3 linked regions of the Oryzias latipes genome follow. The protein of the gene in region 3 purifies or fractionates together with the protein of the main gene of each other region. This does not show direct contact. Links are inferred from orthologs where the notes say so. Each region holds a gene or a part of one and is shown on either strand. Other genes may lie near its edges.

Region 1 (4,055 bases), on a different chromosome or scaffold from region 3:
ACTTCAAAGAACGTTAACAGATTGAGTAGTCCCAAAAATCAAATTGCGAACCAAATTCATTTTTTATAGTCAAGATGAGAGTCTGGTTGTTCTCATTATCTATCTACATGCCTGTCAATGTGAATGACTGAAGGAAGGAATTCTGCTGCTCTCCAAGGTTAATGACAGCAGTATTCGGTTAAAAGCAGGTTACTCTTTAAGGACATTTTTTTTTATATGTATTTCATGAGATAATACATTTAGCTTTCAACTACCATGTCTAACTGTAATGCCTGCTTTTTGGTAGGCCACATTAACACTGAATGCAGAATTTCTCACCCATTAAAAGTTGAAAATTAAGGCTTAAGTGTTAGAGGCACATGGACTGCAGCTTACAACTATTATCTTTATAAAACAAAACAAAAGGTAAATTGTTAACTATGGTTTAAATAATTAGACAGAGCCCTCTTAAGCTTTTAAAATACTTCAATTAGGAAATGCCAAATATGTGTTTATTTTTAGTGTAATATCAGACTTGTCCACAAAAAATTGCTCCTTTTGACATAAAAATCCATTGTTTTTCTAAGAAACTGTAACATTTGGTACATCCCAGTTTGTATCAAATTAAGGGATAAAAAGGACACAATGGAATACCGATTTTTTTTTTTTATATTTAAACACAATCTGGCCGGCTACAAAATTAACATTTAAAATAACTAAATGTAATTTTACATTATATTCCTTAAGAAAATAAAGATTTCTTAAAGAGATTAAAGTAAAATCTGGAAAAAAGGCAAATAATTCAAAAATGTAACTCTTAAATTCCTATTTTCTGTTTGTTAAAGTTGTTTTTTTATCATGAATTTTACATAGCAGGTTAAGTAGAAAGTGTTTCTGCACTGAATTAACATGAAACCTTTGAGACACAAAGCACATAAGCACCTGCATTTCGCCTGAGAAGGCTCTTTCTTTGACTCTCTGCGCCATTTGCGTAAGCCTACGGCAGTCCTATTGCAGTTATGGAGGGAAATGACGTAGAGCAGCTTCCTGAATTCGCCAACCATCCGTCCAGTGACGTAAATTCATGCGGACTTTTCCTTTTTTTTTTAGTACCGAGCGGAGAGGAGATGCACACGGCACTCGAGTGAGGTAACTGTATAAAAAAACCTCCACTTGTTTTCATTCACTCCCACAACATGGACCGTGGTAGCGTTAGCTACGGTGTACAATTCTAATATTCTAGTTGTTCACATCCAGAGCAGAGTTAGACGCATCAAAGCAGCGCGAGGCTCTTTGGAGACACGAGGCTAATTTCCTGTGTGGTCTGCTAGCTAACAGTTGCTGCTTTAAATCCGCGCGTTTACGAATGGGGCGCGAGGCTAAAAATCGAGTGGGATATTTAAGCAGCGTATTAGCCAAAACGGGGCATTGCCTTTGCTCGGGAGAAAACGCTGGCGCGCGTTTGGTAGTTCGTTTTGTGAAAGTCTGGTTCCAGTGACGCGGAAGAAGAGCCGCGGTCAGCTTTAGTGTGTGTCTTGGAGGCGCACCACGTGTAGCGTCTGCCGGTCAACAGATGGGCAGTGTCGCCGCTTCTTCACCGCGGAGGCTCGCCAGTTTCGTGGTCGAGATGGACTTTGACCAACGTGTAGAGTATTCCGCTGCGGTGTAGAGTGTGTGGAGCGCGGCGCTTCATATACCTTAGCTTTTCGTTGTGCTGCACGCGGCTTTTCTGTCCCCATCTGTTACACAGTTGAAAATGCGTTTCGTCATGGTGAACAGTTCCTATCTGATTAGCCTAAATCAGTGTCTCTACAGGCTTAAGCACGCGAAGAAAGCTGCATGTAGGAACTAAAACGTGTCAACTTGAAACTACGTTTATATGCGTAATCTGGTTGGGTTACGAACTCTTAAAGCTTTTTACATTTGTTGAAAGTTTGACCTGGATTTAAAGTGAGGCATTGAGAAGTTTGCTCACTTCTGATTCAGTGTTTCTCTCCCTGTTCAAACCCAGCCCACGGTGCATCAGCATACCCTCCCATGAAGGTGATTCATGGTTACCACTTTGAGGAATCCAGCCAGCTGAAAACATCACATGTTTAAGAAGCTCCTGTGTCATTTTTTTCCAAAAGTTAAATGGAACAGTTTTATGTTGGATGATGGGCTGTATTTTGTTAACCTGTAAAGTGACTGTTCTTTCTTAAATAGTTGAACTGGAACTGGAAACATTAGTCATAGTAAACCAGTGCTGGTAGTCGTACTTTCTATCAGAATGCAGTCATCTGTCCTGTTCATTAAAACAAAACCCTAACCAGATGGACCAGTTGGTCCCTCTATATGTTTTGTTGCTGGCGTCTTAAATATGCAAACAAACTTGGAATGAATCACAGGTGACTTTGGCAGAGTTTGGCGCCTGATGGCCTTCCTGTCACTGACACAGGAAGACTTGGTTCTCCTTGTGGCTACACAGCTAGGCTGTAGCGGGAAGGGTATTGGCCAAAGGCTCACACTGGATGAAGCTCCTTGCGCCCCCTTGGGAATCAAACCCTGATTTCTCATGTGCCAGTCCTACACATTATGGATATTTCTGCCAAGATTTTGCTTATGTTGTGCTTTGTTGAATTACAGCTTTTTACTAATTGTCAGGGTTTTGATCTGTTTGATGTCAGTCTTTCTAACAGTAATCGACCAAACAAATCCTGAATACTACTTTTTTTTTTCCTCCTAAATAAAAGCATTATTCTTCAGACGAAGAAGCTGCATGTGTCAGCATGATTACATTAGCAGTTTAATGAACTTTGAAATGACAATCGAACAATTCTTATAACTGGCCATGGCCTCCATCTGTGTTAAATTTAAATCCTTTCTTGATTTTCTTATATTAAAGCAATTATCGCAACAGGAAGGTAATTTATAACAGATGCCCTATGAGCTCTTATACTTTAAATTTACCGTTTGACACAAACTAAAAAAAAAAAAAACCAAGTGGGAAAGTGACAGATTTAGGAACAAATTTGATGTCAAGTAATAGGGAAACCATTAAAAATACTAAACCTTATAAAAGCTTTGTCATTTCAATTAAGGATTTATTGTGAGGTTATTTTTACCCTGGTTTGCATGTTATGATGACGTCTTTTTTTCTATGCTCATTGTATTACTGTTGTTCTTTAAAAGAAAAGAATAGAGTAAATGTGCCTTAGTTGACCAAAAATATTATGAGGATAAAATCTGTAATATAGTTATCTTTGCAGCAGTGCGCATAACCCTAAACAGATGAGCAAACATATTTCCAAATAGCCCAAAAAACAAAATTAAAGATTTGAATTAGCCAAAATCCTAACCCATGTTTAATTGAGTTTGCACTGGAACACTAAAAAAGACAGCTTCATTTTTTATTGAAGTAAATATTTAAAAAACAGAATTTTGGATATATTTTTATTTTAACAACTTGATTGTCTTGGTTTAAAGAAAAGAGAAGGGGACAAATGTAATATTTATGCAGTTAAATTCTATGTTTTATGTCTTGAGACATTTCCATGTTTGATTTAATGATTGGCAGATGTTATTGGCACATATTTATGCGTGACCAAGCACAAAAACCGACTGACATTCATGTTGGCCACACGTAATCAATGGAGCCAGGTGCACTTTGCTGCATTGGCCGCATGTATTTTAAGCATGTCCAAAGCTAAATATTGTTGTTGGTCACATGTATTAACAGTCCTAACCTTTTTTCCTGGATTGTACAACCAAAAAAATGAGAGTTCAACACTGGCCTTAGAAAGTTACATGCTAATAGTCACCTTCTTAATGATTTCTTGGTGAACTTTTGCTTCCAATTTTTTCTGGTGTGACTCTATAATGACGTTGGCCCCTGAAACAGGTCATTTTTTTCGTGAAAGTGTTTAAACGTCAGTGACTTCACAACAAAATGTAATAAGAATTTGCATTATTTTAATCCAGCTAGGTATAATAAATTCTTTTTGTATTTTTTTTGTTGTTGTTGTTCAAAAGAACAAATATAGACCAGATCTAAGTTTTTTTTCCCTTTTTGTTTTATTCCCTAAATTATTAGTCTT
Region 2 (4,071 bases), on a different chromosome or scaffold from region 3:
TCATAAAAAAGTAAAAGTCATTTTAAGGGAAAAAGGGTGATTAAACCCTCTAAAAATGAGAGTAATGCTTAAGCACAAAGTGGTAGTTTTCCTGCTGCCTCTCTTTATGTGAAATCCCGGACTCACACAGAGGACTCCACCTCTCTGGTGACAGCAACCTCCGCCTCAGTCCGAGGGCCCCCCTGAATGCTGGGAACCTGCTCCGAAGCCTCGCTGATCACCTCTAGGCCAGAGGCAGCAGCTGCTTTAGAGTCACTGGCAGACTTCTGTCCGCAGCACAGCTTAGGAGCGCACTGAGTCCGGCAGGAAAGCTCGCACTGGGAGCCTTGAGTTTCGGAGTTAAAGGTGACGAACTCAGGCTGGATGGTGGTGGCGTGGATGCCCTCGTCGTGGAAGAAGTCCTTGATGCGTTTGGCCACATCCATGTAGGACGTGGGGTCGTGGCATTTGATGTGCGCCGTGGCAATGATTCTGCTTCCTGCCAGCTGCCAGATGTGCAGGTCGTGGATGGCCAGGACGCCGTCCAGGCTGAGCAGGCGCTCGTTGAGGCGGTGCATGTTGATCTGCTTGGGGACGGTCTGCAGCAGGATGAGAGCGGACTCTTTGAGCAGAGGGTAGGTGGTGTAGAGCAATATGCCCACCATGATGATGCACAGCGTGGGATCCAGGTAGAGCACCCAACAGGGCCCGGCTTTTGTGTCCGTGTCCTGCAGATCCACTAGAGTGTGGTTGATGTGGCGGTGGTCTGTCTTGTGGCTGTTGATGCACGGGTTCGTACAGCTTGGACCTTCGCAGGGCTTCCACACGAAAGTGAAGATGACAGAGTTCACCACCACGATGACGGAGCCCAGGGCGTCCCCCAGGACGTGCAGGAAGACGCCGCGCATGTTGAGCTGCGACGACGCATCGGCCTCGGATTCCATCTCCTCGAAGTGGGTGTTGCCGTTCATCTGCACCTCTGTGCTGTCTTTACAGCTGACCTCTGCAGAAAACAACCGTAGAAGAAGGTTTAGACTTCTGTAGTGTCACACTACATAATCACATAGACTTTGACCTCAAGATACCAGCAGCGAGTTTAAAGAAGATTGTTGTTCTATGCAACATCTGCGTTAGTCCACTGTGATATGTTCAATCACATCAACCAACATGTTTTCCCTTTTGAACAAAAGCAGCTTTTCTGCAGAGGGCTCCTCAACCTTGTGACTGATTCTTTAGCACAAGAGCTCGGGGCCATGCGCAAACCAGTGAAACACAGAAAGCAAACTTCGCATGTGGCATCTGAGTCTTCCTAATTCAGATTTAGTAACAAAAAGGCAGAGCTTAGGAAGCCGTTTCTCTCAGGGCACCTCCAGGTCGTTCATCAGGGACTAATGATGTGTCCGGGGCTGTCGAGTCCCAGAGTCTCTGATGTATGACCCACTAATAGCAATCGGTGTACAGGGGTGGAAGAAATGAAGGTTCATTTATTGAAACTGGCAGGGCTTAACAAAAGAGGAGGGTGTTCTTTACTTGATTTTAACCCTTCTTTGAATGAAGAAGGGAGGAGATAATCTTATTTTGAAATCCTTATGCACAGAAAAGATGTGTTCATAGAAACACATGAAGGCGAGGCTGTCATCAGCATCACTGAAGGGGGTCTTTTTTGAACACAAAATAAAGGCTACAAATCCCAGGTTGTTTTGATAGCTTTGGTAAAGGAGTACTTCTCACAAAGCAAGAAACGTCTTGCTTGTGTCGCAACACTTTTCAGGGATGTAGTGACTCAACAAATTATATGCATTTGAAAACAAATAAATGTCAAGACTGAAGCTGACAAGAACACAATACAGATTAGTCAGGCAGTTGTTTGAAAAGCTGATGATTTAAGGTGGAATCTGAGCTGTTTACAGTAAGATTAGGCTCAGTTAACGCCACCATGTCAAATATAATGCACGTTTCCATACATACCCATGCTTGGTTTGGTGTTGCTGGTGTGATTCCCCACCAGGTAGTTGGTCTCTTCTCCAGCAGATCCGTTCCCGGCCTTCTGGGACTTGCCATGTTTCCCCTTTTTGCCCTTACCCCCGTGAGAGTGTCCCCCGTGCGAGTGGCCGTGGCCTCCCCCGGCGTGCCCATGAAACAAGCAGAGTCCCAGCAGGTTGATCAGTAGCCCCGCCGCGCCGACCCCGGCGACCACCATCGGGCTGTCGATCTCATGGGGTTCGGTGAAACGCTCCACCGCCTCCAGCACGATGGTGAAGCACAGCGCCGTGAGGAAGACGGCGTTGACCAGAGCCCCCATCACCTCCGCCCGGATCCAGCCGAAGGTGTTCTTGTTGGTGGCCTGAGTCTTCTCGGCGAAGCGCACGGCCACCAAAGCCACGATCAGCGCGATCACGTCGGACAACATGTGAAAGGAGTCCGACAGCATCGACAGAGACGAAGTGATGCGACTGACCACCACCTCCACCAGGAAGAAGCCAAAAGTCAGTGAAAGCATACAGAGCAGGCGCGCTCGGTTGGGTTCGCAAGCCATTTTATAAATTTACTAGTATTTTTAATTCAAGTTTTAGTCTAGAAAATGTCTAAGATGTACGACAGACACCGGGACGACGGTAAGCTAGCTCCCTAACCTACGTTTAAGCTAACTGCTCCAAACAGACAATAAAATCCGAGCTACTGCGTCTTCCCGGTCTGTTTTTATCTACCACCCGCCACCATCACTCATCTACACCCAACGAACACCGCAAACATTTTTCCACAAAGCCCTAAACCTGGTAACCGTGTGAATACACCGTGTTCTTTTCCAGGATATTCCAGACTCATCTGCCGACGATTTCCAGTTTGCAGACGGTTGAAACTTTGCACCCGAGCCGGGCAAAGTTTTCACACGGAACACGAAGGGCAAGACCCGCCCATCACCGTTCCCATTGGTGAGTGGAAAACTAGAACCCATGTGATTGGTCTATTTCACCAATCACGCAAGTAGGAGGCGTGACTTAGCAGGACAACCAGGGTTGCTACGCACGCTGTCCACAACTGAAATCCCGCGACAACTCATTTCCTTTTTTTTTTTTTTTGGTCAGGCACGCTTCACTACAACTACCCTGGCTTACTCCTTCATTTGGATGGACTCACATTTGTTTTTATTAGAAACTGATGACCTCTCGTGGAGAGCAGACGTTAAATTGTCATTGGACTATGAGATTTACTGTTTCTCTTTTAACTCGTTTATGTTGATTGCTTCAAAGCAACATTTAAAATCATTTATTTACTCTTTGAATTCGTCTGTTCATAATAAATAAAAAACCCATTTGTGACATTTTTGTTTATTAATTTTCAACAGTGGTTCATAAAATCTTTTTTTTTAATGAAAGGGTTGTTAAAACAGCAATAATGTGCACACTATTTTAACACTTTCAACAGCTGCCATTGACATTTACACAATCTATAAATCATTTAAAATATAGTTGGACAACAAAGAGAGCAACAACAAAACTTGAAATACACAAGATAAATTAGCTTCACTAAAATGCCAAACAATTATTAAATAAAAACATAAAATCCAGTTGTAATTCAGTCATGAAGAACATCAGGATGCGCTCAGCGTATGCCGAGCATCTGCCTGCTCTTGAATTGGCACATTTGCTCCATCTCGCTGAGTTTTTGGGCGCGTAGCTTTGCAGCCTGCAGTCTCAATTTCATCAAGTCCTGAGACGTTGCACTCTGGCGACCCTCTGGCTGCTCATTCTCTATGTTTTCACCAGCAAAGTGGACCTTCTTCTTCCCAGGAGACAAAATCTCCGCATCTAAAATCAAACAGCAGGGATCTGATTAACACGACTTGAAAGCGCTTTTTAATAATCAGGCAGATTTCTTTTGTCAAGAATTTGGTTTGAGCTGAGAATGGCTTTAAAACTTGTTTATTGAATAAAAGTTCATTGTTAGATTACAAAAAAAAGATACTTTATTTACTTGATATAAACACAATAAATATTTCATTCATTCATAAATTCATAGCCCAGCTGTATCTAAGTTCAGTAAGTCCAGAGGTCTTTGTTGGATTCCCCTACCTATGTCTTCGAGAAAGAT
Region 3 (4,064 bases):
AAGGCATCTGAGGAAAACACACTCAAGTTTGTTTAAGGACACAACTCTGAATTTGGACTCGGATGGACTATTATCTCAAAACCCAGAGTCAGTTGATCCACCAGCATGTGATTCCCCACAGAAATCATCTTCAGAGAGTATGGAAAACACAGCACCGTACTTCACACGCAGTGGTCGAGCAGTCATACGTCCTGCCAGATACAGAGACTAGTTAATGTGACAGTTTTGTGTTCATACTGTTGCTTTGATTTGTTTAATGGTTACGTAAAAGAAAAGAGTATGTTCGTTTTAAAACATTTTAAGAAATAAGTTAAATGTTTGTATGTCGAAGTTTCAGACTACTGCACTAAGATGCACATTGTTAAATGTAAGGTTGTTTACAATCTGAATTTGCCTAGCCATTATGTTAAGAGCATAAGACCGTCTAATGTTCAAATTATTTAGAGGGTGCTTTTGTGTTTAAACAACTGTTGAAGATGTTATGACTAACATGTCTTGGGAAAAGAGGGATGTGGTATATTGTGATAGACAGTAATAACCACCGCCACCAATAGATGGTGCTGTCGGCCTGTATATGCCATGAGGGGTTTCAGAGTAAAGTACATGTAAAAGCTCTTGCACCGAAAGCTGTGTCCCTGTCGTCGGTCCTAATTAAGAGACCCGCTGATAGCACCCACGCTAAGGTAACTCGGAGCAACATCATATAAAGTCACAACAATTATTATTATAATTATCATCATCATCATCAGTCTAATGGAAAACATTTTTTTCCAAGTATTGAAAATCATGATCGTATTTGTTATTTTTATTGTTTTTACATGTTTGAAATAAATAAATCACTACATACATTCGGTATAAGTTAGATACTCTGTATGATTAATGGCTTGAAATGTGGAACCCCCTTTTCAGCAGGAAAACAGAAAGTTGCCGGTGTTTGCCGACAGGGGGCAGTAAATCCCCAAAGATTCGGTGCTATGTCAACCCAAACACCCAGAAGAAGAATGCGGATATGGTTGTTTTTATTGTTAAAGGGGGGAGTGTTTCTCATCCCGGCTCAGTTTCTGCCGTTTCAGCTCAGCAAACAAAGCTCCGCTTGGACTAAGATGGTGCGTAAATAGCAGCTTGCCTCCGTAAAGTCCCCCCACGCCCACCTCAGGTTGGTTTACAGTCCTGGAATAGGAGACGTTTCTCCTCTCGGGGTTTTCTCGTCTTACCTGCTCTTGTCCCTCTGCTGTCGGCTGCCGCTCTCTCGGCTCTCAGACATTGTTTTCCGTATGTGTCATCTACAGCTGAAGACTCTGTTTTTTGTAGCCTGGCTGCTGGGCTACGTGGCGTTTCTGCTCTCCATCAGGAGAATGTGGACCGCTAAGCACGCGCGCAGCCCGCTCGTGCGCTCTCTAGTCCTGAATATGGTGAATGAGCACGAGGCCAGTGGTGCCAGGGAAACACACGAGGTACGACTGTCCTTATTTTTTTTCTGAAAATATAAAACTACAAAATCTAAATTTACAGTGTTTATTTTAAATCCAAGAATGTCCTTATTCGAATGTGTCACGAATTTGTCATTAGTTATTTATTCGTTGCTCGTTTAGCCTCTTTGCACTGACCTAAATGATTCAGAGGGATGCTGAAAAGAGAAACTTCTGTTTTGCAAAAGAAACTATGCTGAAAGAGACAATGTGACAGTAGTTTTAAAGATGACTGGGATTGAAACACAAGGGGGGAAATTGGTTTTGCACAGGAAAGACTATTTTTTAACATTTAAATAGGAAATAATTCTTAAATTCTACTTTCTGCTGTGTAGTTTAACACAGCCCCACCTCTGCTGAGCTGAGAAAATTCAATCCAAACAGACCTGAACTGTTTTCAGGGAGGGGCTGTGGGGTAGGTAAAGGGTGGTATTGTATGAGACTGGTGACAGGAGATGGAGTTCACCTCAGGACTTCTTAAAAAGTGTTGTGAAATCAAAACCTCTTGTTCTGTTTGTTCAGTGGTACCGATGCTGCCCAGATCTGCTGGGAGAATCCGTCCGGCCTCTCTTCATCCAAAGCCACTTGGACTCGGACACCACGGATTTTCTCAACAGGAGCGCAGAGAAGTCCGGCTGGCTGTTCACGCAGCTCTACCACTCGCTGGTGTCCACCGTCCTAAGCCCCGTTTTGTCGCGCACCTCCATTAACGGGTGAGCGCTAGTGGGTGTTTGAATTGCAGCTTGTGTTCCTCTTCCTGCTCCTGACCCTCCTCTGTGTCACAGGGTTTTGGGGAGAGGGTCTATGTTCGTGTTTTCGTCCGAGCAGTTCCAGCAGTTGCTCCGGATCGGCCCAGACTGGACGGCAGAGAGACTCCTGGACCTTGGAGCTGGTGATGGAGGGGTCACAGAGGTGATGGGAGTGCATTTCAGGCAGGTCTTTGCAACTGAGGTGTCTGTGCCAATGAAGTGGCATCTGCAGAGGAGGAACTACAAGTGAGTAGAAGCATATCCTAAAAGCTTTCACAGGTTCCTTCCCTTCAAGCCAATACAAGAATGCAACCACAGAATAACACTGTGTTCTTTTGGGTTGAAATTAATTGGCAATTAGAAGTTTTTCCTCTCTGTCTTTTTGTTGTCTTTTCCCGTGTGCCACAGGGTTCTGGGTATAGACGAGTGGCAGCATGTTGGATTTCAGTATGATCTTATCAGCTGTCTGAACTTGCTGGACCGCTGCGAGGATCCACTGCACCTCCTGCGGGAAATAAGAAAAGCCTTGGTTCCCAAAACCGGACGGCTCGTCTTGGCTGCTGTGCTTCCCTTTCAGCCCTACGTAGAAGTCGGTCAGTGAGGAATCCCATTTCTGTCTCTTCTGCTGACGTTTCATCTAGCTAGAAATCCAAGCATCGTTTCTCTGCTTGACAGGCGGGAAGTGGGAACGACCAAAAGAACACCTGAAAGTTAAAGGAAAGACGTGGGAGGAGCAGGTGACCGATCTGTCCAGCGAGGTTTTCCCGCGGGTGGGGTTTGAGGTGGAAGCGGTGACGCGTCTGCCGTACCTGTGCGAGGGAGACATGTACAATGACTACTATGTGCTGGATGATGCGGTTTTTGTTCTGAAGGCCTCCGGCGACTCGGAGCAGTCTGTTCATGAGCTCTGAACACAACACGGGGCCCAAAATTTCTTCTCAGTACCTGGATTTTAGTGCAATTCTTCTTCTTCTTCCTCATGCATTTATTCATCTCGGAAATTTAGAAGCAGGGAGTTGGGCGCAACACAGCAGTGATTTCCTTTTTCTTTTTTTTTTTAGTTTGTTATACTGTTATTTCAAACGAAAACCTAAGGGGGATCATCCTTTCTAAAAGTTTTTCTGTCTTCCAAGTCCATTATTTGTGATGTAAATGTTTAACTGTCAACGTTTTAACCAAAATTTCTGACAATATTTGCATAAACGGTTCAATTTATAGTACTACATATTTGATTTCACCATTGCACAAGATTTTTACAATTGCCTGTTCACCCTCTGAGACATAAAATCCCACAGAGGTTTTCCAGGTGAAATATCCCAGAGGTGAAGCACTTTATGAGCGTTTCACGTTGTTCCCCCCTCAAGGTTGGTAATGATGGCAAGATCCCAAGCATTAGTTGCACAATGCTGGACGCCGCTCCACTAAGATGCATTTGCTACACGACTGCAGGGAAAACATGCCGCTTGGCCTATAGGAGTGTCACACCTTTTGGCATCTTTCTGTTGGATTATCAGCGTAATTCTGTGCCACGTTTGGCACCACCAGATCCTAAACTTGATCATATTTTACGAACTGTTTCATTTCCAGATCACTCGTAATGGATCTATGCACCTGACCAAAACAGTTTTAACAACTTGAAATCTTTTCCATCCTTCGATTCAGTATTAAAGCCAAACCTCAAGCTAAACTTTATGGAATTCCATGCTTTTGTTTTGCTTTGTTGCACTGAATTTAATATCAAGTAGTGAATTTCTTTCTAAGTGACAACAGGAAACCGAAAAGTGCTGCATACGTTTGATATATTCACAATAAGAGTATCTGATTGTAGCTTTAGATCTATAAATTC

The links. Proteins that work in one complex are often made in the same cells at the same time.
Region 1: the proteins of mettl9 (region 3) and zinc transporter ZIP10 purify together in Homo sapiens (co-immunoprecipitation; 3 studies listed by BioGRID and IntAct, with this or other methods). This does not show direct contact. The link is inferred for Oryzias latipes from reciprocal best matches to the Homo sapiens genes METTL9 and SLC39A10.
Region 2: the proteins of mettl9 (region 3) and slc30a1 purify together in Homo sapiens (co-immunoprecipitation; 3 studies listed by BioGRID and IntAct, with this or other methods). This does not show direct contact. The link is inferred for Oryzias latipes from reciprocal best matches to the Homo sapiens genes METTL9 and SLC30A1.

What each region holds. Positions count from the first base shown.
Region 1 is NC_019879.2:3,433,248-3,437,302, forward strand, and holds the start of zinc transporter ZIP10, read left to right. Parts: upstream 1-1,184; 5' UTR 1,185-2,016; coding exon 2,017-2,022; intron 2,023-4,055. UniProt on the Homo sapiens protein: Zinc-influx transporter. When associated with SLC39A6, the heterodimer formed by SLC39A10 and SLC39A6 mediates cellular zinc uptake to trigger cells to undergo epithelial-to-mesenchymal transition (EMT).
Region 2 is NC_019882.2:6,335,983-6,340,053, reverse strand, and holds the start of slc30a1 (zinc transporter 1), read right to left. Parts: upstream 2,872-4,071; 5' UTR 2,516-2,871; coding exon 1,948-2,515; intron 983-1,947; coding exon 123-982; 3' UTR 1-122. Other genes in the region: serine/threonine-protein kinase Nek2, read right to left, coding at 3,583-3,788, 4,053-4,071. UniProt on the Homo sapiens protein: Zinc ion:proton antiporter that could function at the plasma membrane mediating zinc efflux from cells against its electrochemical gradient protecting them from intracellular zinc accumulation and toxicity.
Region 3 is NC_019877.2:20,101,657-20,105,720, forward strand, and holds the start of mettl9 (methyltransferase-like protein 9), read left to right. Parts: upstream 1-1,259; 5' UTR 1,260-1,274; coding exon 1,275-1,454; intron 1,455-1,991; coding exon 1,992-2,182; intron 2,183-2,254; coding exon 2,255-2,464; intron 2,465-2,626; coding exon 2,627-2,811; intron 2,812-2,893; coding exon 2,894-3,129; 3' UTR 3,130-4,064. UniProt on the Homo sapiens protein: Protein-histidine N-methyltransferase that specifically catalyzes 1-methylhistidine (pros-methylhistidine) methylation of target proteins.